4 linked regions of the Caenorhabditis elegans genome follow. The protein of the gene in region 3 purifies or fractionates together with the protein of the main gene of each other region. This does not show direct contact. Each region holds a gene or a part of one and is shown on either strand. Other genes may lie near its edges.

Region 1 (4,823 bases), on a different chromosome or scaffold from region 3:
AAAATTTTTTTTAGAGGGAAATTGGAAAAAATTACATTTTAAAAGTTAAAAAAAAATCAAATTTTCAGTTAAATTTTCAATTTTTGCCTAGTTTTTCTTTAAATTCGAGCTTATTTGCCAATATTTTTCAATTTTTCTTGAAAGATTTTTCAATTGCTCCATTCAAAAAGTGAAAAAAAAATCTATGGAAAAGTGACTTTTTACAAGAAAATCGTTAAAATTTGTCATTTTTTCACTAAAGAATGCATTTTCAGACAACTTTTTTCTGTGGAAAAATTCGGATTTTCGAATTTTTTTGAGGACGAAAAATTAGGAAGTTCTTAGTTTTTTAATTTTCAGTCTGAAATTTATAGATTTTTGAGGGAAATTGAGAAAAAAAAAATAAAATTTAGGAAGAATTATAGGAAGAAGGAGAAATTTTCAGTTAAGTTTTCTATTTTTGCCTAGCTTTTCTCTAAATTCAAGTTTTTATTTTTATTTTCCTTTGAAATCCGACGTCTTTGACTTTCTGCTTTAAAAAAAAACGGAAAATTCGGCGAAGTGAAGCTGCATTTTTCTCTTTAAATCTAGATTTTTCGCATAAATTCCATGTAAATCATCCATATTTTCCAGTTTTTCTTCTCAATTTTATCTAGAAACTCACTAATTTCAGGTACAAGCTTCAAATGTCCTCCAACAAAATTATTCTCATCAACATAATGATTGAGAAGCTCAACAGCTCGATCTGTTCCAGTTTCATTATTTTTTGCAGCCGACGTATCAAACATTCCTTTAATTGCAGCAACCATTGCAGCTGAACCAACATTTGGACTACAATGAAGCAAAAATGCTTCAACATCGTTCGATTTCTTTTCGAAAAGCTCTTTATTCTTACGAACAATTCCAGCGGCCAGTTCACCAACATTCTCTGAAACTAAATACGGGAAATTAATGCGGAATTCTGGAAAAAATAGGCTTGACGGTATCCTTAAATTGAATTTTTTTTTAAATAAAACAAATTTTTTAATAAATTTATTTTAAAGCGGGATTACAGTTTGTGGGTATTCTGCTTAAATAGACTACAACTGGTCCAAAACCACCGAATTTAATAATGAAACAAAAAATTTTCAACAATTTTGTATGGATTTTTGGTTGAGGCTTAGGATTTTTGGGTGAGGATCAGGATATTTCGTTGAGGCTACCATGATTTTTGGTTGAGGCTAAGGATTTTTGATTGAGGCTCAGGATTTTTGGTTGAGGCTACCAGGATTTTTGGTTGAGGCTAAGGATTTTTGATTGAGGCTCAGGATTTTTGGTTGAGGCTACCATGATTTTTGATTGAGGCTCAGGATTTTTGATTGAGGCTCAGGATTTTTGGTTGAGGCTACCAGGATTTTTGGTTGAGGCTAAGGATTTTTGATTGAGGCTCAGGATTTTTGGTTGAGGCTACCATGATTTTTGGTTGAGGCTCAGGATTTTTGATTGAGGCTCAGGATTTTTGGTTGAGGCTCTCAGGATTTTTGGTTGAGGCTCAGGATATTTCGTTGAGGCTACCATGATTTTTGGTTGAGACTCTCAGGATTTTTGGTTGAGACTCAGGATTTTTGGTTGAGGCTACCATGATTTTTGGTTGAGGCTAAGAATTTTTGGTTGAGGCTCAGGATTTTTGGTTGAGGCTACCAGGATTTTTGGTTGAGGCTCTCAGGATTTTTGGTTGAGGCTCAGGATATTTCGTTGAGGCTACCATGATTTTTGGTTGAGGCTAAGGATTTTTGATTGAGGCTCAGGATTTTTGGTTGAGGCTACCATGATTTTTGATTGAGGCTCAGGATTTTTGATTGAGGCTCAGGATTTTTGGTTGAGGCTACCATGATTTTTGGTTGAGGCTAAGAATTTTTGGTTGAGGCTCAGGATTTTTGGTTGAGGCTCAGGATATTTCGTTGAGGCTACCATGATTTTTGGTTGAGGCTAAGGATTTTTGGTTGAGGCTAAGGATTTTTGATTGAGGCTCAGGATTTTTGGTTGAGGCTACCATGATTTTTGGTTGAGGCTCAGGATTTTTGATTGAGGTTCAGGATTTTTGGTTGAGGTTCAGGATTTTTGGTTGAGGCTACCATGATTTTTTGGTTGAGGCTCAGGATTTTTGGTTGAGGCTAAGGATTTTTGGTTGAGGCTTTCTGGATTTTTGGGTGAGGCTCTCCGGAATTTTGGTTGAGGCTACCATGATTTTTGGTTGAGGCTACCATGATTTTTTGGTTGAGGTCAAAATTAAAAAAGGCATATTAGTGCAAAAATCAGAAATTTTGCCCAGTTTTCTTTGTCGCAGAGACTGTAATTCAACTTTTCTGAAATTATCACTTTTAATTCACATTTTGGTAATTTATCTTGTGTAAATTCATTGATTGAGACAATTTTTAAGCGAAGAGACATCCAAAAATGATAAAAATTGGATGCCTCACGGTTTAAAATTGTCTCAATCAATGAATTTACACAAGATAAACTAATAAAACTTAGATTAAAGAGTGATAATTTCAGAAAAGTAAAATTCCAGTGGCTGCGACAAAGAAAACTGGGGACAAAGAAAAAATTTCAGATGTCAGCAAAATTTGGCTCTTTTTTTTCGGAATTCGATCCCTTTTCAGATGATATTCATCAATTTTTCACGAACTTCTACGAGAATTTCGATGGGTTTTTGAATGAAATCATTCAAATTTCCCGAAAATTTCAGCGAATAAATACATTTTCAAGTTGAAAAATTGAGAAAATCACTAATTTTCTTCTTTTTCCAACAAAACCCTCCAAATTACCATGTTTTTCACTGCAAAGCTCATTGATCGCAGCACACAATGACTCCATACTACCAAGATCCATTCCAGAAGAAGCTGCTGCAGACGATGATGATGAGGCTCCCGTGAAGAGCTTATTGAAAAAAGCTGAAAAAGCTTTTCCGATTTTTTTAGAAAATTTACAGGTTAAATAATAAACTTACTTGTCATGATCCTTTTGTGAATGGGATTTTCCTGTGATATCTGAAAATATTTACATTTTATCGTGAAAATGTGTGACAAGAAACGAGTAAGAGAAGATATACGAAAAAATAAGAGAAAATTGCACAGGGAATGGCGATTGGTGAGAAAATTTAGAGAAGAAACCGAGAAAAATATAGAAATTGAGTAAAAATCGAGCTTGTACAGGAAAATACCGAGAAATTAGTGAAAAATGGGTAAAATTTGGGGAAAAGAGAAAACTTTGCTAGAAAATAGAGGGAATCACGAAAATTTTAGGGTATTTCAGTTCAAATATCACCGAAAAAGCACCGTGTCAGGCATAAAACGCTGTTTTTTTGAAAATTACTTATAGAAAATACGCTAAACAACACGCGACGCGTAACATCGGAGCATCGTTGTCACGCTTTTCTTCGAGAAAAATAGCGTTTTATTCGTTGGCACGGTGCCAATTTCGGAAATTTTAGATCCAAAATCCCAGCTGATCTTGAATCCGTGGTGCCTCAAAACAGGTGAAATTCACAATATTTTCCTGCTCGGAAAAATTTCGAAAAAAAAATCGACAATACGGGGATTTTTCGAGAAAAACTGTGAGAAATGCCCTAAAAAAATGCAAATATTAGCTGGAAACGAAGAAATTTGGGTCAAAATTATAGAATTTTCAAATTAGAAAATGCGTGAAAAATTCAGGAAACATGATCGATTCAAGACGAAAAATACTCCTCGTCGTTATCGATTTTTTCAGTGCGTTGATTTTGAGAAGCGTCGTAAAATGGTACGGTATCGAGTGCAGAATGCATGTCAATCATATGAGTATTCATCGATTCGAATAATCGTTCGATTTCTCGTTCTTCTTCTGAATCATCCGAATCCGACTGAAAATATGGGGAATTTTAGTATATTCTAGTATTTTTGGATTTTTAGTTGAGGCTCTCTGGATTTTTGGTTGAGGCTTTCTGGATTTTTGGGTGAGGCTCTCCGGAATTTTGATTGAGGCCCAGGATTTTTGGTTGAGGCTCTCATGATTTTTGGGTGAGGCTAAGGATTTATGGGTGAGGCTCTCAGAATTTTGATGATTTTAATGAAAATTTGAGTTTTTTAAAGGTAAAAAGCTATTGGAATATTGCATTCAGCGAGTTTTTTTTATTTTTTGCAGCGCTAAATATCACAAAACAGATATTTTGTGATTCCTGGGACCGTTTTTTGGGACTTTCTGCTTTTTTTCAGATTAAAAAACTGGCGTCTGTCGCATTTTTTGTTAGTTTTTTGAGAGATCTTCGGAGTCGTTTAGCTAGAAAATAGACTGAAAATCGGATTTAAAAAAAAAGGAAAATCCTGCCAAAAACACATTTTCTAGATCACATTGAGCTTTTTACATTCCAAAAATCCCGATTTCTTCGTAAAATTGCACAAATTAATCCCTTTTTTATGGAAATCCGAATTTTTCCTTACAAATTCAAAATTCTCCTTGACACTCCTCGCTTGTTTTCTCTTTTTCCTCCTAGCCGACTCAATTTCATAAACTTGTAAATGAATATTCGACACATCTTCATGCGCTTCTTTCACTTTTCCCAACGCAGAAATCTGTGGAGCATCTAGCCATCGGAGCTCACCATTTCGAAAATCTTCCAGTAGTTTCAGCATTCCTTTCTCCTCGAATATCATACTACTGGGCTCCAGAGGCGATGGAGGCTCCCGAACAAGAGTCTCTGTCATTGTATTTGGATCCCATTCGTACATATCTGCGTCTCCTTCGTGTCCGAGCACTTTCTCGTCCAGAGTTCTCGATTCAAACCATTTTTCCTCGGATTCCGGGCTTATAAGCTTCTCGGGACGCTC
Region 2 (8,008 bases), on a different chromosome or scaffold from region 3:
AGAGTCTTGGCTACCTCGTTGGCCGCTCAGAAGAGTGGCTCTTGACTCGGAATTTGTTGGAGAGTCTAGTGAACGATCGGTGGCTGATGTTCGTAACCGAGGTGCCATCTCACGAGGGATACTATCGCCATTTGTGATCTTACGGTGAGCGAAGACAGGAGCCAGACGACTCGCCTGAAGAAACCTTTAATAAAATTTTTTCAACTGGGCACTAACCTGCAAGAAATGCGACGACGACCTGATCAATTGAGTTCCTTCTCTGGAGCACATTTGTACATCAACTAACAGTGAAGAGAGCTCAAGCTCCTCACTGTACTGATTTTTGAGTGGAACTGATCGGAATCCACATCTAATTGAATCAACAGGGAATACTGCTTGACCAATGAACGGATCTGTTTTTGGTCCCACAAAGTCACCGTCTTCCACGTGGAATCTGATCAGTGCTACTTCGGGACACTGGATCTCAAATGTGAAAGTTTGATTCCAGATCGGATTAAGACCGTTTGATGCTGAAATTTTAATTGAAATTTAGAAACTTATTTTTAAAAAGGAAAAAAAATATTAAAAATTACCTATAGTTTTAGTTTGAAAAACTTTTGTGTCACATGGCATTCCAATAATTTCAATTTCCACAAATGGGGAGCATATTCCTTTATTCTTATCTTTTCTTGACAAATGACGTCCTCCAATCACTTGAACATTCAGTCGAATGGGATAAGCTGTTGCAAACTTTTCCGTGTTCGTAGGATCGAAGTCATCAGTTAACATATAATCTGGTTTCAGTAGGTACCCGCATCTTCCATTTGCCAAAAACTTTCCTTGATTCAACTGCATGGGTTTATCACCGGTTTGATAGTTTAGTGCAACCATATGACATCCTGCATTCCACATTGGAACCGGACTATAATTATTCGATGTGATTCGACTTCCGTTCGGATAGACCCTCGAGAGTTTTCGGGAATTAAACGGAAGAAGCCCCTTTTCAACCAGTTTGTCAAGTTTTCCCTCGACAAATGAGCACATTTCATAGAAAGCGTCATTGTAGATATGGGCTGGGTCGAATGGAACAGCTTGACAGTAGACGACTAGATTTGAGAGCTCAGCGGCAATTCGTTTTTCTTTTTCTTTGGTTCGGAGTATGCTCATTTTTGTGTTAACTGAACGAGTCAGCTCGAAGAGATTGTTTTGCCAACCATCTGCTTCCTCGGAGGCTGGAAAATTATAGTTTAAGTTAAGTTGGGATCCAGGTTGAAAAATATTTGCGTAAAGTGAATCTAATTTGTTTTTTTTTTCTTCTCCGTTTTGAATTTTTTTTAAATAAATTTTTGTAGTAGTTTGTAGATTCAGGTACGCTTTCAATTGTCACAAAATTTCCAAATTTAATTTAAATAATGTTTGAAATTTTTTTAAAGAGTTTCTATTTTCTTTCGGGCCATATCAACACAATTTGTAGCCTGTCGAAATTGTAAACCCCAGAATTTCAGTTCGAAGAACAACTTACAAGAAGCAGCCAACAAATAATATTGCTTGTTCATCCAATGTTGATTTGATTGTGATATTCTGATAACATTCGGACGATCAGCATCATGAATCCGTTCAATTAGTGTTCCAGCTAGCTCGATTGTGTTGTAGTTGCTAGTTTCTGAAAACTTTGATGTTTGATTTCACTTTACTCTGATAGAATAATCAAATTTTTAAAAAATCATTGAAGCATAGAAGGGATGATACTTTATTTTTCTTCTTTTCAGATCTGACTAAAACTCAAATTTCTATCGAATGCAAGCTTCTTGTCCCACTCTATCATTCTTTCATTCTCCCAAGTTTTTACAAATAAGTCTACACATAATATCGGCTGTTGGAATTCCAATTTACATATTCGGAGGGTACTGTATTTTGTGCAAAACCCCGAATCAAATGAATCTTGTCAAATTGGTCATATTTAATTTGCATTTTTGGAGTACTTTAATGGATTTATTTATGGGATTATTTGTTGCTCCATTTATACTTTTACCGTCAATGTCAGGGTTTCCCATGGGATTGCTGGGTTATTTGGATGTGAATATTCCATTTCAAATTTATGTTATGTTGACTGTAATTGTTTGTAAGTTTTGCAGGAAATTTGGAACTTTATATTTTATCATTTCAGTAACCGGTGTAGCAATTCTTCACATTTTCGAGAACCGCTATAACACCATTATTTTCGAGTTTTCTAGTCGAAAAGTCAGACGAGCTCTGTTCTTTATTTTCAACTATTTACTGGCGTTCACTTTTGTCATTCCAACTATTTTACGTATTCCAAATCAGTCGGAAGCTATCAAAATAGTTAAGGAACAATTTCCATGTGAAGTCGATGAAAATCGATTTTTTGTGTTAGCTCTGGATGTCCGTGTAACTCACTATTCAGTTATTATCACTAGTTCATTGATTGAAGGGCAGATTATTTATTTTGTCATTCGACTTTTGATGAATTTAAGTGGAAAAGATGATAGAAAATCAGAAAGGACTAGAAATTTACAAAAGAGACTATTTCGAGCAATTTGTATTCAAGTTACTATTCCTGTTTTACTAATGTTTATTCCATTTCTATTTGTAATTATTCAAGTTTCTCTGGAGTATCATAATCAAGGTAACACTTTTAAAACTATAATCTAGTTACTATATTCATTACAGCTCAAACTAATATTTCTTTATGCTTGCTATCTCTTCATGGTTTGATTTCAACTATTGTGATGCTCATTGTGCATAAACCATATCGTGATGCTACACTAAATATATTGGCAGCTTCTAAACTATTTCAAAAGAATACAAATAATAATAGTGAGCCCACACGAAATTCAGTTCCCTTTTTGATAGTGACTACTTAATTTAAACTTGCTATTTTATGAGATAAACTGTTTACATTAATTTTTTCAAACTAACCTGAAGTTGAAACTTTCTCTGGTAGAATCTCTTGTACATGGGCCGAAGGGAACCATCCAGTCAACGATCCATATCTTCCTCTCCAAAGACCTTCTTCCTTCCGGAGTACTGTGATAATAACATTCGCTGGGAACGAAAGTTCATCATCAGCTGTTCCTCGATACGGTCGAAGTGCTCGAGCTTGAACTTCTTTATCCAAATCCTTCAGATCCATATAGCAACCTGGAGTACGAGCTTCTGCAAGTTCAGCTGTCAGGTGTGATATATCCTTCTCATTGACAGGGAATCGAAGACTAATTCCTCTAACAAATTCTCGATTCGCATAGAATTCAACAATTTGATTCAAATTCTCGAATACTTTTTGATTCACCACGAAAATTCTTCCATCTCTTTTCAATCGATAATGCCAGAATTCGCCGTCGACTTTTAGCGAAAGAACGTAAACTGAAGAGTCAGTCGATGACGTCCGAATTAGGAAAGCACCATCTTCTGGCACCAAGCTCAAAAGTTCTTCGGCTTTTTCCTTGTCAGCAGTAGCAGAGAACCATGGCTGATTAAGATGCGGTTGTGGTTGAGGACATGGAATCGTGAGCACCATTTTGAAATGAGCAGTTGTGAGGTAGTGACGGGTGTAGTAAGAGACCAACTCGTAAAGAGTGTCGCAGACTTTGTTATCCATGAAGTAATATTTTTTCTCTTCTGAAAAATTGAAAAGTTGAAAATTTTATTAAAAGTTTCTCTTCTATTTACTGTAATTCTCGAATACATGTTACATGCAAAACATAGAAAAACTCACTATCAATAATCTTGGATCTTATCCGAACATGATGAACTTTCCCGTCATGTAGAATCGAAAGTGAGAAATCTCCAATGAACAGATTCGAATCTCGAATCATAAACAATCCATTTCCCTTCTCCTTATGCTCTAGAATCCGTTTTTTCGCTTCATCCCGTTCACATCTTCCATGGAACCATTCTTCAGTCACATGCATTTCTTCAGGTTTCACTCCAAATCCAGAAGGCGTCTCTTCTTCCCGTTCTTCATCTCCACTTACACTCACTGTATCGTCATTTGGATTTTCAGGATCAGCGGTTTGAATCAGGTAGCAAAGACGATCAGGGAATAATATGAAAACATGAGATGTCCATTCGTGACTGTTGTTGTTTTTTACCATCAGGATCCCCTTCTTTACACATTCGCGAGATATGATTTCCGTGTCTTGGACTGAAACAAAAATCATTTAGCAAAATGATTTATACCTTTACTACTAGGAAACTAGAGTAATTTCATAAAACTTACACTCATCAGTTTTCACCACAGCTGCCAAATCCTCGCTTTCTATCGGCAACTTCTTATGCTTCACGATAATTTTCTTCTTCAACGCGGCCGGGGAGGGCAATTGTTTTTCTTCACGATTTGCTGGTTGTGTCAATAAATAATCACCAAGAATATCTTTCAGTTCTTGAGCTAGAAGCCGTTGAGCTGGCACCGAGCAGTTGTCCTCAATTGATAGAATTACTGGATATTCACTCGTAACAAATGCATAGTGACGGATGACGTGAAGCACGTCGCGGAGCAAAATTTTTGAGGTCATCGTATACCCGTGATAGATGACAATATCAATGAACTCGGCTGACCCGGGCTTCTTCTGTCCATCCCAGCAATCTACTGAAAAATAAAATTATTTATAAAACAGTGAAAATTGTCTCTAAAACTTACACTCAATGCATCTACAACCCATCAAAAGAGCTTGAGCATAACAATCCAAAGAAGATTCAGATCGAAGTTGGTCACCCGTCAAGTATCTGGAATTAAATTACTGGTTTAGCACTTATATAGACCAAAAAAAAAACAAACGTATTATGCGAGCTGGCAATCCAATAATGAGACAATGGTCTGCTCATATCATGAGTAACTTTCTCATTTGTTGGGTCCCACAGCGAATTCTCCCTTGAAAATAAAAAATCACAAAACTCGAAAACAGTCATTGAAGGCTCATTTCTATCTCCAAAATATGCTTGATCTTCTTGAAAATATCGATTCAAAAACTCCAAAGCTCTCGTTCGATTCGAGGCAAGTTCATCGAATTGTTTGCCATCAAGAAATCGCAAAAAATTTTGAAACGTCACCACAAGACCTTTTCGTTCATGTTTTTCAGCAAGATCAGCGAATCTTGAAGAGAAGAGTTCAGGTACATGGATAAGTTGACGACTGGCAAAACTGAATTGATCAGAATTCATTTGATCTTCTGTCACTTGTTGGAGCTGATCAGATTGAACTTTGAATTGGAGGGAGGTTTGAACAAATGGTTTCATATGCTTTCGAGCAACGCTGGAAAATTGTTATTATTAAAAAATTCTGCAATTTTTGAACTTACGCATCATTAGCCGGTGACATTAAACTCAAAAAGTGTTTATGCAGAAATCGTTCAATTCTCAATGGATGAGGGGATGAGTCTCGATCTCTTGTGTCCATCATCAAATTATGAAGTCCTTGTGACCATAATTTGCACGCATCCTCACTTTCAACTATAACATTTTTCTTTCAAACTATTGAATAATTATTTTAACAAAAACTCACACAAAAGAATCCAATAGGAAAGAGCAAATCCCATTCCATATGAGATGATTAGAATGGCTTTTGAATCAAAATTTACGATTTCTCGATCCTTTTTCCATTTATCATCTACTTTAATTGTGTTCAATTTGTAATTCAATGTCTGTACTTCACGGATTTGTCGAATATCTAGAATTGTCGGTTTATTTCTGAAAAAAATGTAAATGAATTTCATGCGATGTTACTTATCCTCTTACCTAACAGCTGACAGTTCCAATTTTGTCAGAAAAATCTGCCTCGAGTACCGATCCAACGTTAATTGTTTATAGGCTGGATCCCATTTCTTCAACACCGCAATTTTGCACACTTTGTGACCTTTCTCCATTGCCGCAAACATTTTCCCAAAATCCATTTCATTGTGACGGTTCAATTGAGCTCGTGATGCTGTCGAGAAACCATTTGAAGAGCGGTGATGAAGGTGAACGGAGCCCGCTGTGCTGGTTACTGTAGTCTTTCGAGACGACGATGATGGGCCAAGTGAGCCGTGTTGCATGCTGAGAAATTGAAGGATTTATGAAATTGGATGCACATAAAAAAGAAAATTTTAACGGTCTTCCTTGCAAAAGAACGATTGAAAGAATTTCTGATTTAGAAATTAATTTAAAACTTATAAGCAATTACGAAAATGTGGTGTTTCTTCAATTTCTCATAACAAAAGTTATTTTATTCAACTAGTGAAATGCAATTCAGTTGTTAAAATGAATAATCTCTTATCAAAAATTGTTGTATTTTTCCGGTAAAAAAACTATCAATCATACTTTCCCGTTTGAAAAAAAAATCAAAGAATATAAAACAAGAACTTGATCAAAAATCTAATTTTTTAAAATAGTTCGCTTAGAAATTTTTAGAAAATTCACAAGAAGCGGCTGGGAAGGCTTCAAGTAATATTGAAAGATATTACATTTTTTTAAACAAGATGTCTTATTTGCCTGGATATTTGTGAATTTTTCCAATTAATTTATAAATAAGTTTTAAAAATGTAGTTTCTATTAGAGGAATGAATAGGTTTTCAACAAGAAAATTGCGATTGGAGATTATGAAAGTTTTCTGCAAAATTGGCAAAAGAAGTTTCTATAACAATTACTATTTATCTATCAAAATTTTGAAAGCCGGCAAAAATGTGTTTTATGCTTTAATTCTTTGTGCTAAAGATTGGCTCAAATGTGCAAGGATAGTTGAAATATCTCAACTAATCACACTTTTCAAAATTTTGAAAATTTGCCAAAACCGTGACTGAAATTTTTTTTTTCATATTTGGTTTTTAAAAAATCGCGTATATTTTGACAAAAGCACCACAGCCCTTCAAAATTATTTCCTAAAAACTTATTTACCCTCAGTTTAATTCGAGCTCCAATAACCCAATCAACTCCCTATTCCTATATTTTCAGAAAAAAAAGTTTCCGGAAATTCTACAACTGCAAGAAAAAAGAATGACATTTCAAGAAAAAAGGAGCACAATAAAGTAAAAGTGTGAAATATAATACATATGACCTAATGACAGTATGATAACGTCATACTAGCCACGGCGAGGAGCACAATTCGATAACGGTGTGTGGAAAAATAATTCAGACTAAATTGGGAAATTTTCACAATTCCTTTTTGATAAAGAAAAATGCTCCTCGAGTTTTGTGCTTTTGGTGCTTCACACATAGAAAAGAGAATTGAATGAAAAGGGCTGGAAACTGGAAGAGAAAGAGAAAGAGCAAAAGAATATTGTTTCAACAAAATTCGAATCGCTTTGGTTGATTGAAGAGAAATGGACGATGTGAATGTGAAAAAGAAGAAGAGGAGCATTTCCAATATTTTTCAATTAAATCTTTATCGGATTTTCAATTTGTTCATTCCATTGGAATGAAGACGCTTCAATATTTGTATTTATTTACTTTGAAGACATTTATGATCATTTAAAAGTTTTCTATAACTATTCCAAAGTATTTGCTAATGAAAAACGAAAGCTGTGATACATTTTATTGTAACCCGATTTTTTAAAAATTATAGTATCATAGATAAACTTACCCAATTAAATTTACAAAAAAATTTTAGACATATAAGTGAAAAATTGTCAAGATTGATTTTTTAGAAAATTATTTTAAACTCTACATATGTATATGCAACAAAGTCACAGAAAAATTACATCACATATAAATCACAGAAAAAAAAGAAAACTTTTAGAGTCGTGTCAATTGTTTTGCATTTGCGGAAGAAGCCATACATTTATGAAAAAATTTCGGATCTTAACATTAATCCTAAAATAAAGTATTGTTATCAGACTTTCTAAATATAAATTTTTAAAAAACTCGAAACCATTTTCCTTGGAGATGTTAAAATTGACACCTAAAAGGAATGCTTATAAAAAACGACAAAAATATTCTGAATTCAGATGCAAATTTTCATTTTTTCACATACATAAAATGGGGGTGAATGGGTGTATAGAACATAGGTGAAATATGATAGATAAAAGAAAATGAAGAG
Region 3 (7,853 bases):
GGATACGTCACGACATTCAGACATTCGGATCTTTTCCCAATCGACGCAGACGTACTGTAAAATATTAATTTATTGATACTGTACGGTGAGTATTTTATCTTTCGTATTACTGCCAAAACATAACTGTCACTCAAGAAAAGCATTTTGCAAGCCCGCGGCGCGGTTTGATATATGTCGAATTACGGAAGATACTCCACACGGACAAGTGATTTTTTTTTCGGCATTTAAAAATTTTTTGACTACTTCTCTCTTTTTGAACTACTTTTTAAAACGTTTTTTATATTTAAAATTAAACAATTAAAGGTAAAGAATAAATTGACAGACCGGTAATACTTATTTTAAATTTTCAAAATCTTTTCTTTAAGTATTTTTATACATTTTAAATTAATCAATATTTCTTTAAAATCCCTCAATTTTAGTTCTCGTTCTTTTTTCTTTTCCGAGGTCAGGTGTCACACATTTTCAATTTTTCCCCAAGCGGCTTCCCCCTCTAGCGAAAAGTTTAAAGTCAGCCGAATATGAAGGAGGCGACTGATAAAAACAGCTGATTTTTCTATGATTTTGTCGAAAAAAAAATAGAACAGACGTACATTGAGTGGTGACGTAAAGGAAGAACACTTTGGAGAAAAGCACAAAGGTCAAAATTATTAAAATTTAGTTTTTTTCGGTTTCGGATCCACAGTCCAACTCATATTTGAGTTTTTTTTTTAAATGAAATACAGTCAAATTACGATCAGGATATATTTTTATAAAATAACAAACCTCTTTCATAATTCCTTTCCAATGCTTCTGAAACTCGATGTCTTGCTTCCATTGAAGCAAATGAAATTCCCACTCGAAGCAGTGATTCATTTTCTTCAATTGCCATCATCATATCCATTTCTACTTGATTTCCGAGCACAGATTGCCGCTGAAAATGTTTTGTAAATAGACTTGAAAAGCACGAGTTTTTATTTTGTTTTTATTATCGTTTCGCCAAAAAAAAATCTGAATTGTCTTAAATATTTCAAAATTTTGTTAAAATGTCATAGTTTTAGCAAAATGGAAAATGTTTTTAAAAAATGAAACTTTTGCAAAATCTATAGCATTCTTGCTATGTAAATAAATAAGAAGTGACTAAAATTGGAGAATCGTAGAAAATTTGTTTTTTTTAAGTCGATTTCCAAAATTATAAAAGGAAAAAAGGAATCATTGGACCATAAATATACTTTTTTTTAATTGTTTCAACTTATTTTTTATTGGATCATTTTAGCACCACATGAAATAATTGTCAAACATTTCCTAGACTCTTCCCTCAACTATATTGTTCCTGTGTTTCGTATGATTTAACGCGAAACGTGTAAAAATCTCATATGACACCACGGCGAGCACTTGTTAGGTAAACAAGTTGAAAGAGAAACAAAAAAAAGAAAAAGAGTGATGTTCTAAATATAAGCACAGAAGTGTTTTGTTTATTTTGTAGATCACAACAAAATAAATAAATACGTACGACTACAGTAACCAGATAGTGTTTTCTAGAGTACTGTAGAAAATCGGATTTCAAAAACTTGATGCGAATGGGTAGCAAAACTTGAATAAAATTAGAATTTACCCAAATTGAAAATTTTTCAAAGATAAAAAAAACAACAAATACCTGATTATCTGCTTTAAATTCAACAATTGATTGTGTCACAAGTGTTGATCGCAGCAATCGAGCCAATAATTCAGGAGTCAGGAAATTGGATTCAACATTCAGAACACGAAGGGATGGTGATGTTTCGATAAGCTCAATGAGTCCCTGGAAAATATGAGAATTCGTTTTTTTTTATCAGATGACAAATACTATTTTAGAAAAAAATTAAAATGTTCAAGATTGCTATGGAATTGAGAAATTATTTCACAAATCAATGCAATATCTTTCAACTCGATAAATTTTTAAAAAATTTTGTTTTAAAAAACTCACTCTCGCTTCAGAATCCGAAATCGCTGTGTTGGCCAATGAAAACTTTTCAATATGTTTACTGTTGCATGCCGCCTCGATCAGTGATCGAATACGTTCCTGAAGTTTGGATATTTTTTCAAATTTCTGATTTGGAAAAAATATCTAACAAACCTTCGACACTCGTTTCATATTGTTAATATTAACCTCCTTCAAGTCTGTATCGTCTTCTCGTAACCGGCTGAAAGTTGGAAACATAGTTTAGAAATGTTTAGAACTTGAAAATTTTTCAAGAGAAAGTCCAGGGAACCAGAGATTTGAAATATTTCAGGGCAAAACAAAAACGTGGTTTTTTTTTAAATTTTTTAAGCTGATTATTAACGCGAATTGAACAATAAAATCTATTTTTTAAATTCGTTTTTTCCTATTAAAACATTTAAAAACTCACTTAATACATGATTCAACATCAGTATCATTATCAGGCTCATCGGGAACAATACGTGGAACATATGATTGCATAATTCCATTAAATGTCGTTCCTGTCGACTCATCTTGTGTTTTTCCTTTTAGTGCATTATAATATTGTGGTTGATTGAGCACATTGTGCATACCTGTAATTAATTAATTAATAGGAAATTTAAGATTATTTCAAAAAGAAAAAACGTAATATTAAAATTAAATCTTAAACAAACCCAAAATTCCAGCCAAATCAACGAGATCCTTTTCAGGGGCAGTTACAAGAGCACACTCGAGCTCTTCTTCATCATCATCCAAATCAATTTCAATTGGCATCTCCATTTTACCATTTTCAGGTTCTTCTGAATTCCGTCCACTATCACTATCATACACTTTTCCACGTTTTTGTCCAGGCGTATAGGGGCACACATCTTCCCAATCTTTTTCGGTTTTAGCCTTATCTTCCAGGAATTTTAGTAAATTATCTCGTTTGTAAGGTCCCGTTGGTTCTTTGTCTGTTTGATCACGACAACGTTGGGAAGGAGGAAGCATTGAATTCTGGAAATTGAGAATTTACATTTTATTTTAAATAACAAATTTTATTTTTCCTGGCGCTCTGATTTGGGAAAATATTTTCTATGTTTCATAGACATTTTATTCGTTTTAGTTAGAACTTTTTTGATAAATAAATAACTCATTTTGACTACATTTTTCCGATTTTTGAAAAAGGACACATTTTGATTAAATTTTTTTCTGAAACAAAAACACCTTTTGAATGAAAATTATTCAACGACACCCTGGATTCTGATTAAAATTATGAAAAAATCTTAAAAGTTTTATTTCAATAATTATAGCATAGAATGCACTTTGATTGACCCTTCAGAATTAATTTGAATTATATCATTTCAGAATACCCTTGATCACTGTTATAGTGAAACAATTTTTGAACTTTCAGACACCTTAAGGCTCTCGCACTTTGTGATCATTGTCATCACCTTCCTTCTCCAAACAATTGGACAAAGTTCACAACTCTTACTTTTGCCTTGTTAACCAATTCCCCCTTCCAAACAAATGTGCTGCCCAACTTTTCTTCTCGTTCATCTTCTAAACGAAAGTTAAACAGCAATCCCAATGGTGGGGGTGGTCTCTCTTCAAGGTTTCCGCAAATAAAATTGTGTGTTTGTAAGTGTATCTGTCTTTATGTGTATGTGTACAAGTGTAGGAGATGAGGAAAGGAGGAAGGACATAAATTTGCGATCGGTTTTTTTTATATTCATTGGATCACAATGCATGTGCACAATGTGCAGTGTTTTAGTGGTAATAATCTGATGGAAAGTTGAAGGAAGTGGTTTTTTGACGAATCTAGTATTATAGTCAAGAGCTTGCGATAGATCAACTGACCGTGAGCATCTCTTTGGTTGAGACTATCACAAGACTTTTTGTGTGCACTTTTTGTGAACCTGGATCACGAAGAGCAGAGAATGAGCAAAGCTTTTAAAAATCATAGGTTACTGTAGTAATGCCAAAAGTTTGTTAATTGGTTCAAGGTAGACAATCCAAAAGCGAAAAAAAAGAACAAAAAACTACAAACATCCATAGGTTCTCATTCTAAATTATATTGTACTCTAGGGTCGATCTCATCATGAGAAATTAACTTTTCATCAAAACCACTACTAAGAAAAATTGAAAATTTGCGCCATCATTAGGTTTTCCCCAATTTTTATTTCATTAGGATGTCAACTTTCATCGTCCATGCAATATCCCTCTGCTCACTCTATCTTTCCATGCTCCAGTGGAAAAAAACATCGGAGAAGCACAGAGGAACAACCGAGACACTCTCCCGAGAGGTCTTTTCCATCTTTAACCCAATAGAGAAGAGAATCAGAGAAGCGGATCTTCTCTCTCGGGCGGTACATCCTCATCGAGTGAGACTACCAACATCGTAGAGACTCAGATTATCCATATTCCCGGGAATCGAGTGTGTGGAGATGACGAGTTGAACAGAGAGGGAGAAGCTTTAGAGAGTGTGAGATAAAAGTGTACACGTATGTGGACACTAGAGACAAGTCTCATGTGATAGAGCTGGAGAGGAAAAGAAAAATTGATCACACGTATGATTATTGATTGATTTATGTTTTGTTAATTTTAATCTAAACATGGAAAAAGCACAGAAGAGAAACATCAAGCTGTGGTCTGGAAATTGCTAAACTGAAATAAGATCGTGTCAAACGTTCAGAAAAAATCTCACTACGGCCTTAATTACAGACTTGAAATAGGTAAAAAACACCCTATGACATTTCTTTCGAAAACCCTACCAGCCTCTACAAAAATATTTAAAACTTGTGAAATCACATTGGAACTTTTTCAGCTTCTGTTATTCAAAATCTATGTATTTCAAAACATATATTCTTGACAAATCTTTTTTCTGTTTTATCATATTTCCTTCCAATTAAACATACGCCCTTCTACCGTACCTCAAGTGCCATTTTGCGTCATTCTGACTAACCGAAAAAATAAACAGAAAAACCTGCTGATCAATGCGCACCTTCTAAGGCATTTTTCACAAAGCTATTATTTACTTTAACACTGAGTTGCACAATTCAGGTATCTATAATTCAAATAGCTAAAGTTTAAATAACGATAATTTGAAAACTAGGGGAAGCGGCTTTTTGGTCAAATTAATACATAAAGTAGGCAAAACTTAGCATGAAGAGCATTCTAGAGCTTCACAATAAATGTTCAAACTTATCTTCAAATTCAAAAATAGTAAATTTTTATGTTAATGTTTTTTAAAGCTTTTGCAAAAATTTTAGAATTTCAAAAAATTAGCTAGCTAACTGGCCTTGTTCTATATATAATTTATATAATTTGACTCTTTTAAAATTTTTGAAAATTTGAAATTATCGGGAAAAAACTCACATCAGGATCAAAATCATTGTTGAGATCCTCCAATTCATCAATCGATAAACTTGAAAGAAGGCCTTCAATATCATTATCCTCCAAATCCTGAATTAGTTTCCAGAGTTCTTCGTTTTTCAAAAATTTCCTTACTTTTAATCCTTTATTGTAGACTTTTGAAGGTAGTTGAGTTCCCTGTTGACTATTCGCTGACGGTGCTGAGAAGGTCTTCTCTTCAGAATAGTAACTGAAAAATTATAGTTTTAACTTGACCTGCTTCAATGAATTTTTAATTGCTTACTACAAATAATTTTTAGTCTTTTTCATTTTTTGTAGTTTTAACAAATAATTATTTCGTCACATGTGAAATTATTTCTTAAATTCGATTATCAGAGATTTTTCCGATTTGCTTCACAATTTTTTAATAATATTTTTCAATTTTACATTCAATTTTTACCAATAAGTTCTAAAACTATCAGAAATTTCGGGTGTTCCTTAGTGCTTAGAGCTTATAAATTATTCCATTTTTTACACTAACCTATGATAAATTCGTGATCTAGGAAACATGGGTGGTGGAGGCTCCATGTTACTCATAATTTCAGACAATAATTTTCAGAAAAAAAATTCAGAAAATAATAGTCTTGAATAAAAATTTGAAGCCGGCGAAAGATGGCGCAGCTGACTGAGAATGGGAAAGTGTCCCCCCGTGTGCGCACTTGAAAAGGCGAGATAGTACAGAGAGTGATGGAGAGTGACGAGACAGTGAAACAACCAAAAAGAGGCGTGTTTTTTCTGCGTCTTCTACAAGACTGTACGTCTCTCGTGAATCGAAATATCTGCGTCTCTCACATTTATTTGTTATTTGTCGTTTTGTGTTGGCTCTGACCGAAATAAGTGTAAATATCTTTGCTATCAAATGGAATTTTTTTTTCCAAGTTTTTTGTTGGTTTGAGGAAAGAAGAATAAAAAAGTTTTTGAATTTGTTTAAAAGATTGTCCAATGTTGACTGACCGATTGGATGACAGTTCGTAACAGAAAGTAAATGAACACGAAACAATTTACTTTTCAGATTTTTTAAAGGAAACCTCGGAGGAATTTCAAACGAAACTTCAAATTTTTAAAATTTTCTTTAAAAAATATTAATTTTTCTCCAAAAATGAAAAAGGAAACAATAAACAAATGTTTGAAACCATGATTTTTGTACTTATTGGTCTCGTTCCTCAAAAAAGTTGTATATTGGCTCTTCGAACTTGAAATAAACGTTTTAAAAAATTTTAAGTCACTTTTCATCGCTCAGGTTGATTTTAGGATGTTTTGTGAACCTGAACAACTTGAGTGTTTTCAGAAATATGTTCTGAAGACAAAGTGTGAAAATTTTTAGATGAAATACTTTTCAGAATGTTTGCCTTATAACTTTTTAAAACATCAAGAAATTGCAAAAACCTATTTTGAAGCTGCTTTACGGAGCTCCAAAAAACATTTTTTAAATAAAACAATTTCAGATTTACTATTTTTCAGCTCTAAGAGCTCCTCTCTTTTTTGTAGGAACGTATTTTTCAAGCAAAATTCCAGATGACATAGTTTTTTAAATAATTTAAAAAAAAACACTTTTGTGTGGAAAAGAAGCTCAGAGTGCTCAATTTTTGATCTTGCTCGAACCTTATTTTCATTTTGAAATACTAAAACTGTTTTCTTTTTCAAAACTGTTCGGTAGATCATTTCCAAAATCTAAATTTCTCACTGAATAAGTGCTGCTTGTGATAATATATCTCATGTGCCCTTGTCTTCGAAAATTGAGAGTAAAGGGGTCAGCTGTCCGGAGCACACTCACACATACACACATAGAAGCTTCGTGTATCACATTCCTACTGCATTTTCGCCGTTTTTTTTTTCTCGAGTTTTTCTTAGCGACAACGAAGAGTCTTAAAATGACAAGCGAACTGGAGAAATAAAAAGAGAAAAGGAAGGATATGATATGTGTGTGTGATAAGTGCTTGTGGTCTGACACCAATTTGAACTTTTCGGACATTTAAAATCTACAGGTCATGGGTCTCAAATTTCTGATGGTTTGAGCAATGAATATTTTAAATTTTCAGAATTCATAGAATACTTCAAATGTTGATTTTGAATCTTTTTCGATTGTTATAGAATAACAAATTTTTAACATTTTTACTAAATTTAAAGAAATCATAACTTACTCAGTTTTAGCCTGACTCATCGCTGATGGCGGTTGCACAACAATCGGTGATGGTGGTTCGCGAGGCGTTAAGCCGAGTCGAGGTGCTCCAATCGCAGACGTCAGTTTGATTAGTGATGGTGAGCTTCAGCGACTGAAACTCTTGATTTTTACAGAAATTCTCCCGAAATCGGGGCGTATTAGTCAGAATAATAGTTTAGTAGAGTAAAATGAGAATAAAATAAATAGTATTATAGTAAAACCGCAATCACTTCAAATTTTTTTGGGCGTTGTTTAGTAACAAATCAGATGAGGGACGAAGTTGAGTTGTGGATATATATTCTGCTCAGGCTTTCCACGACGAAATGCTCCGTGAGCTGGGGAGTATCTAAGAAAGAGAGAGAG
Region 4 (4,530 bases), on a different chromosome or scaffold from region 3:
AAAATCTATACAATTTATGGTTCTTACCACAAGTTTATAGTGTTTCGCATCATCACAAGCGTGCTCAATGATTTCTGTCAAATGAGATTCTGAACGAGCATAGCCGATTTCCTTGAGCCCTTTTTGATCTCCAGTTGGTGAAACTCGGAAACTTCCAACTTCGATTTTCTTTTTCGGGTCGACTGCGGCGATTTTCAGCTCGAAATGGGTTACGAGGAGGGAGCAGGCTGAAATTTTCAATATTTAAAAATATATTTTAGAAAAATCTATCAACCTCCACACTCTAATGAAGAAACCGATGCAGATTGAATACCCGACAGTGATATGAGACAAACCAGTGTAGAAACAAAATGCATTCTGAATAAATGGTTAAAAAGCGTCGATAATGACCAAGTGAAGCGGAGAGAGAGAGAGAGCAAACAATGATTGGGAGAGTGGCAGAAAGAAAAGAAAAAGAACGGTGTTTGGATAGGTATCCAGTGTTTGTGTAAATGGTACTTTTCTTCACGAATAAAACATGAATATTATTCATTAAAGTTGATTGGAAACAACGTATTCAAGAGATCGAAAATTGATAAGTTAAACATTTTTTCAATTGGGAACCGGTCGACGTACACGTGGAATAATGTCGCAGAGCCGTTGTCTGGAAATTTAATTTTAATACTATTCAGATATGAACTCTGAAATCTCGTCTCAAAGATATGTTACCCGGCCTCGTCACGTACAATTTTTTCAAAAGTAGTACTGTAGTGAAAAACTAAAGAACGCTCCGCAACAGCGAGCAGCAATGAAATTTTATTTTTGGTATTTTTCGAAAAAAAGGGAGCGAAAATAGAGAAAAATTCTGTTATCCTGTCGGTAACTGAAAATATAATTGATTTTCAAATTTTACGCTTTTTCCAAAAAAAAATTACACTTATAACTGAATGCAAATTTTAAGGATTTTAAAATCGAAATTATTTTTTAAACTTACTCAAACTGCGTTCGCTTCTTCATATTCGCTTCGGAAGGCAGATCGTGTTCTCTTTTCAAAAATCCTTCATAATCTTTCCATGTAACACAAGAAGTTCCTTGTTCTCGACCACGCAACGGGCTCAACAGAATGCCCGTGTTCAGGCAAAACGGCATCTCTCGGAGCTCATTTCTGAAATTTAATTCAATGTATTTTCAAGGATTCAGGCACTTACAAGCAATCTGTAATTGCATCTCGAAAGAATCTCGTCAATGGATCCTTCAATCGACAAGCTTCTTCATATCGTTGAACACGCATTGATTCATCTTCTCCAAGTGAAATTGATAGTGGTGTCATTGGATCGAGCTGATCGTATGGGATGTTTGCATCGCTAATTCCTGTCAAATCGAGCAGAAACTCTGGAAAAAACAATAAAAATTGATTATTGGCAAGGGTATCATTGAAATTTTTTATGGATTTTTTTTCTGAGAAAATCAAAAAAAAAGTTTAGCAATTTTACAACAAAAAAATGTTTTGTTTAAATCAAATTAGGCTTATACTGTTATCAATCAATATTATTAAGGAAAAACATATAATTGCCATCTAAAAAGGAAAAAAGGTCAACATTTAAAACTATTTTTTGAAAAAACGAAAATTGTTTCCAAATATTGGAAAAAGCCCATGGATTCTCTTTTTTTATTTAAAACTTACGAGTAATAGTTGAAACAATGGCGGATGGTAAGTTAAGAATGGCTCTTCTTTGACTATTTCCAGCTCTTCTTAAAGTATATCTCCAGATCATGCATCTCGGACGGCACGCAACACAAAAATATGCTTTTATAAACTGCTTGGTTTTGTTGAGAAGTTTTGCGTTTCTGCGGAACGTCAGCAAACTGAACACATATTGAAGATCGGCATTCTAAAATTTGGCATTTTTTCATAGAAGCTGAAACAAAAAAAAACTCACAGAGAATACACCTGTTGCTCGAATATTGTAAGAAGTTTGTTGGCAATGCGAGAGATTCATTAGACTTAAATCGATTTTATCGAATTTTGACTCTGAATTTGTGTTGGTCGTCTGTCCTACAATTGTTCCTCTCAGGTCTTTAATGTTTGACTTTAGCGCATTTAGCTGAAAAATCAAAAAATGGAATTTTGAATTCCGGGCTATCAGAATTCTGACCATAATAGACGTTCCAAGCATTGCAAACCTTCCATCAGCCGCCGATGGATTCACCATACCTTCTACCAGCGATTCCATAGAAATATCTCCGAGAAATGTGGCTTCAGATATTCCGCAACGGATGGTTCTCTCCAATGAAGCTTCATTGAGCGTTTTATCCGATGTCGACACCATCACACGTGTTCCAAGCTCGATTATATCGATTTTCTCTGAGGCAATGTTTTGCTCAATTTTTTCTGAAACAATAATTGAACTTTTAATATTTTATTGATAATTTTTTTACCCATTCGATGGATTTTTTTCATTCTTTGAGTCGTCTTAAAATCTTTAATATCTTCTTTTGCATCATTATAAGAATCATATTTTTCTCCGCCCATATAGTCCTCTACATCGACTACGTCTTCCATTTCCATCATCTCATCTTCGTATGAGCCGTGTTCAGAGCTTTTGAAAGCAAACGGAATTACTATAAAGAACATTTTTTAATTTTTGAATAAAATTATTATTTTTAAACTTACTTCTATTTGAGTTATTCATATTTTTGTGGTAAATTTCTTGAAAAAAAATAATAAAAGGAAAATAGAGAATAGAGACAAACCGAGAGAGACCAGAGAAACGTTGTCCGAGAGGAGTGCACGGCCGAGAAAAGTCCAACACCTTTTTGCGCGCTAAATTTGAATTTAATTTGCCGCACAAAAATTTTCCTCCCTTTCCAGCCGCAAAATAGAATTTTCTTGAAGTTTCACATTTCCACACGAGAAAGCTAATAAAAATAATTATGTTTATAAACAATCAAGCAATTTTTGTCCTATGCAAGTATGCATGAACCGAAAACAGCGTTGGTGTTTTTATAAAACAACATATTTACAAACTCTAGGATAGAAAAATGAAAAGAATATGACATGATTCGCTAAAAAACAATTAATATCATTGAAAAACGCAAGGCAAATGAACAAAAAAGCAGACGTGAAAATTCTAAAAAGTCTACCATAAACTTTTGCGCGCCGAGACCCATCTGAAAAATACATATGTATATAATTCATGAAAATTCCAATATTTTAATTGTCTATTATATTGCTATGTTCATGTGTTTTGAGCCTCTTCTATGCTCTCCAGAGCTCTCTGTTCGCCACATGTGTTGTGTAATTCGAAACAGCCGTCACTTTTCCTCTGTTTTTCATTTTTTGAGTGTGTGATGCTGCTTGCTCTGCCTTCTGAACTTTGCCATCATGCATTTTCGAAAGAGATAAAAAATCTTGAAAGTTGAGCATGAAGCACCCAATTGTCTCTGGTGACACTTTTCACCTCATTTTCAAATCTCTTGCGTCATTCAGCTCGAGCCATTCGTCTTTCGATTTGACCCGGTTATTTTGTACAATTTTTAGTAGAAAAAATTAGTTTTTTGGGTCCTGACACGAGCTAAAAATTTTAGTATACAGTATCTGTAAGTATTCAACCAGTTCCCACAATTTTTTGAAAACTTGTTAGAAAAACTTAAATTACTGAGAAGTCTTATTATATATCAGGAAATATGAAAACTGTCAAATAGGAAACAACTTTCTGTAAGAAGAATGAAATTCTACAGTACTCGCGGGTACTGTAGCTGAAATATTTCGCTTGCTCTAGAACCCTGATCGTCAATTAAAAAAAATTGGCTAACTCGGCAATATTTGAGAATTATTAAGTTAATCGGAAATTTCAGAAATTGAAAATTTTCAGACATTTTTTTTAAATCAATAATCACGAAATGAACGATGATAAACTACGGAGCCTATTTGCATCTCTTGCAACTCTCACACAACAAGGACCAATTCCAGGTGAGCTATTTAAGAAAATTCGAAATCGTTCTTTGTATGTAGAATCAGGCAAATGTGCCTGCTCACGCCTTGATCCCGTTATTTAGTGAAAAGTGATGTGGATCGTCGCGGGACCCACAATTTTAAAAATTCGAGTTTCAGTGCAAGCCTACAGTATGCTTGCTGGTCAACATTCTACAGAAGTTCTCGCCGAACACATGAGGCTCCGATGGCTTTCGGATGGACGCTTTGGACCAGTTGCTGCAAATATACTAATGCACATCCATAAGGTAGTTCTGTACTACGGTAACCTCAAAAACCACAAATTAAAATTCCAGTCCGATCCAAAAGACATTTCATTATCCTCAAATGTGTTGGCTCTACTACTCAACGACTACCGTAACCGGCTTTCAGTTCGAAACGATTCTCGACTTATGTTCAGGAATTGTGTGAAGACACTTTTTTCGTAAGCAATTTCCAATTTTTTTTTTCGAAAGAAACTATCGTTTTATTCCAATTTTCGAATGTTTCTTGTAGTCAGACACGCAATTTTGATATCATATGATATATCATGTTGAGGTATTGTTGAATGAGAAAGG

The links.
Region 1: the proteins of unc-94 (region 3) and csn-3 fractionate together in Caenorhabditis elegans (co-fractionation; one large-scale study listed by BioGRID). This does not show direct contact.
Region 2: the proteins of unc-94 (region 3) and plc-3 fractionate together in Caenorhabditis elegans (co-fractionation; one large-scale study listed by BioGRID). This does not show direct contact.
Region 4: the proteins of unc-94 (region 3) and F01F1.11 fractionate together in Caenorhabditis elegans (co-fractionation; one large-scale study listed by BioGRID). This does not show direct contact.

Annotation. Positions count from the first base shown.
Region 1 is NC_003282.8:192,930-197,752, reverse strand, and holds the start of csn-3 (COP9 signalosome complex subunit 3), read right to left. Parts: upstream 3,012-4,823; 5' UTR 2,976-3,011; coding exon 2,969-2,975; intron 2,913-2,968; coding exon 2,787-2,912; intron 914-2,786; coding exon 644-913; intron 1-643. Other genes in the region: intk-1 (INTaKe), read right to left, coding at 3,689-3,859, 4,437-4,823. UniProt on the Caenorhabditis elegans protein: Component of the COP9 signalosome complex (CSN), a complex involved in various cellular and developmental processes.
Region 2 is NC_003280.10:10,220,899-10,228,906, reverse strand, and holds the start of plc-3 (1-phosphatidylinositol 4,5-bisphosphate phosphodiesterase gamma plc-3), read right to left. Parts: upstream 6,031-8,008; 5' UTR 6,030-6,030; coding exon 5,734-6,029; intron 5,686-5,733; coding exon 5,501-5,685; intron 5,449-5,500; coding exon 5,298-5,448; intron 5,252-5,297; coding exon 4,778-5,251; intron 4,726-4,777; coding exon 4,640-4,725; intron 4,589-4,639; coding exon 4,220-4,588; intron 4,145-4,219; coding exon 3,716-4,144; intron 3,619-3,715; coding exon 2,920-3,618; intron 2,890-2,919; exon of another isoform or gene 2,865-2,889; coding exon of another isoform or gene 2,671-2,864; intron 2,627-2,670; coding exon of another isoform or gene 2,147-2,626; intron 2,102-2,146; coding exon of another isoform or gene 1,777-2,101; intron 1,643-1,776; coding exon 1,502-1,642; intron 1,212-1,501; coding exon 573-1,211; intron 510-572; coding exon 217-509; intron 175-216; coding exon 1-174. Other genes in the region: srh-135 (Serpentine Receptor, class H), read left to right, coding at 1,777-2,101, 2,147-2,626, 2,671-2,864. UniProt on the Caenorhabditis elegans protein: Mediates the production of the second messenger molecules diacylglycerol (DAG) and inositol 1,4,5-trisphosphate (IP3) which plays an important role in the regulation of intracellular signaling cascades.
Region 3 is NC_003279.8:5,993,285-6,001,137, forward strand, and holds the start of unc-94 (Tropomodulin), read right to left. Parts: upstream 6,014-7,853; 5' UTR 5,867-6,013; coding exon 5,811-5,866; intron 5,520-5,810; coding exon 5,426-5,519; intron 5,381-5,425; coding exon of another isoform or gene 5,372-5,380; coding exon 5,294-5,371; intron 2,933-5,293; coding exon 2,611-2,932; intron 2,530-2,610; coding exon 2,367-2,529; intron 2,160-2,366; coding exon 2,093-2,159; intron 2,039-2,092; coding exon 1,943-2,038; intron 1,778-1,942; coding exon 1,634-1,777; intron 911-1,633; coding exon 763-910; intron 55-762; coding exon 17-54; 3' UTR 1-16. UniProt on the Caenorhabditis elegans protein: Acts as the pointed end capping protein which maintains the length and dynamics of the actin filament. Blocks the elongation and depolymerization of the actin filaments at the pointed end.
Region 4 is NC_003281.10:5,869,173-5,873,702, forward strand, and holds F01F1.11 (PAP-associated domain-containing protein), read right to left. Parts: upstream 2,706-4,530; 5' UTR 2,673-2,705; coding exon 2,654-2,672; intron 2,602-2,653; coding exon 2,419-2,601; intron 2,372-2,418; coding exon 2,136-2,371; intron 2,085-2,135; coding exon 1,920-2,084; intron 1,872-1,919; coding exon 1,664-1,871; intron 1,372-1,663; coding exon 1,188-1,371; intron 1,145-1,187; coding exon 974-1,144; intron 644-973; coding exon 592-643; 3' UTR 513-591; downstream 1-512. Other genes in the region: F01F1.15 (DUF3456 domain-containing protein), read right to left, coding at 28-227, 275-356; F01F1.3 (MIF4G domain-containing protein), read left to right, coding at 3,883-3,952, 4,094-4,221, 4,270-4,397.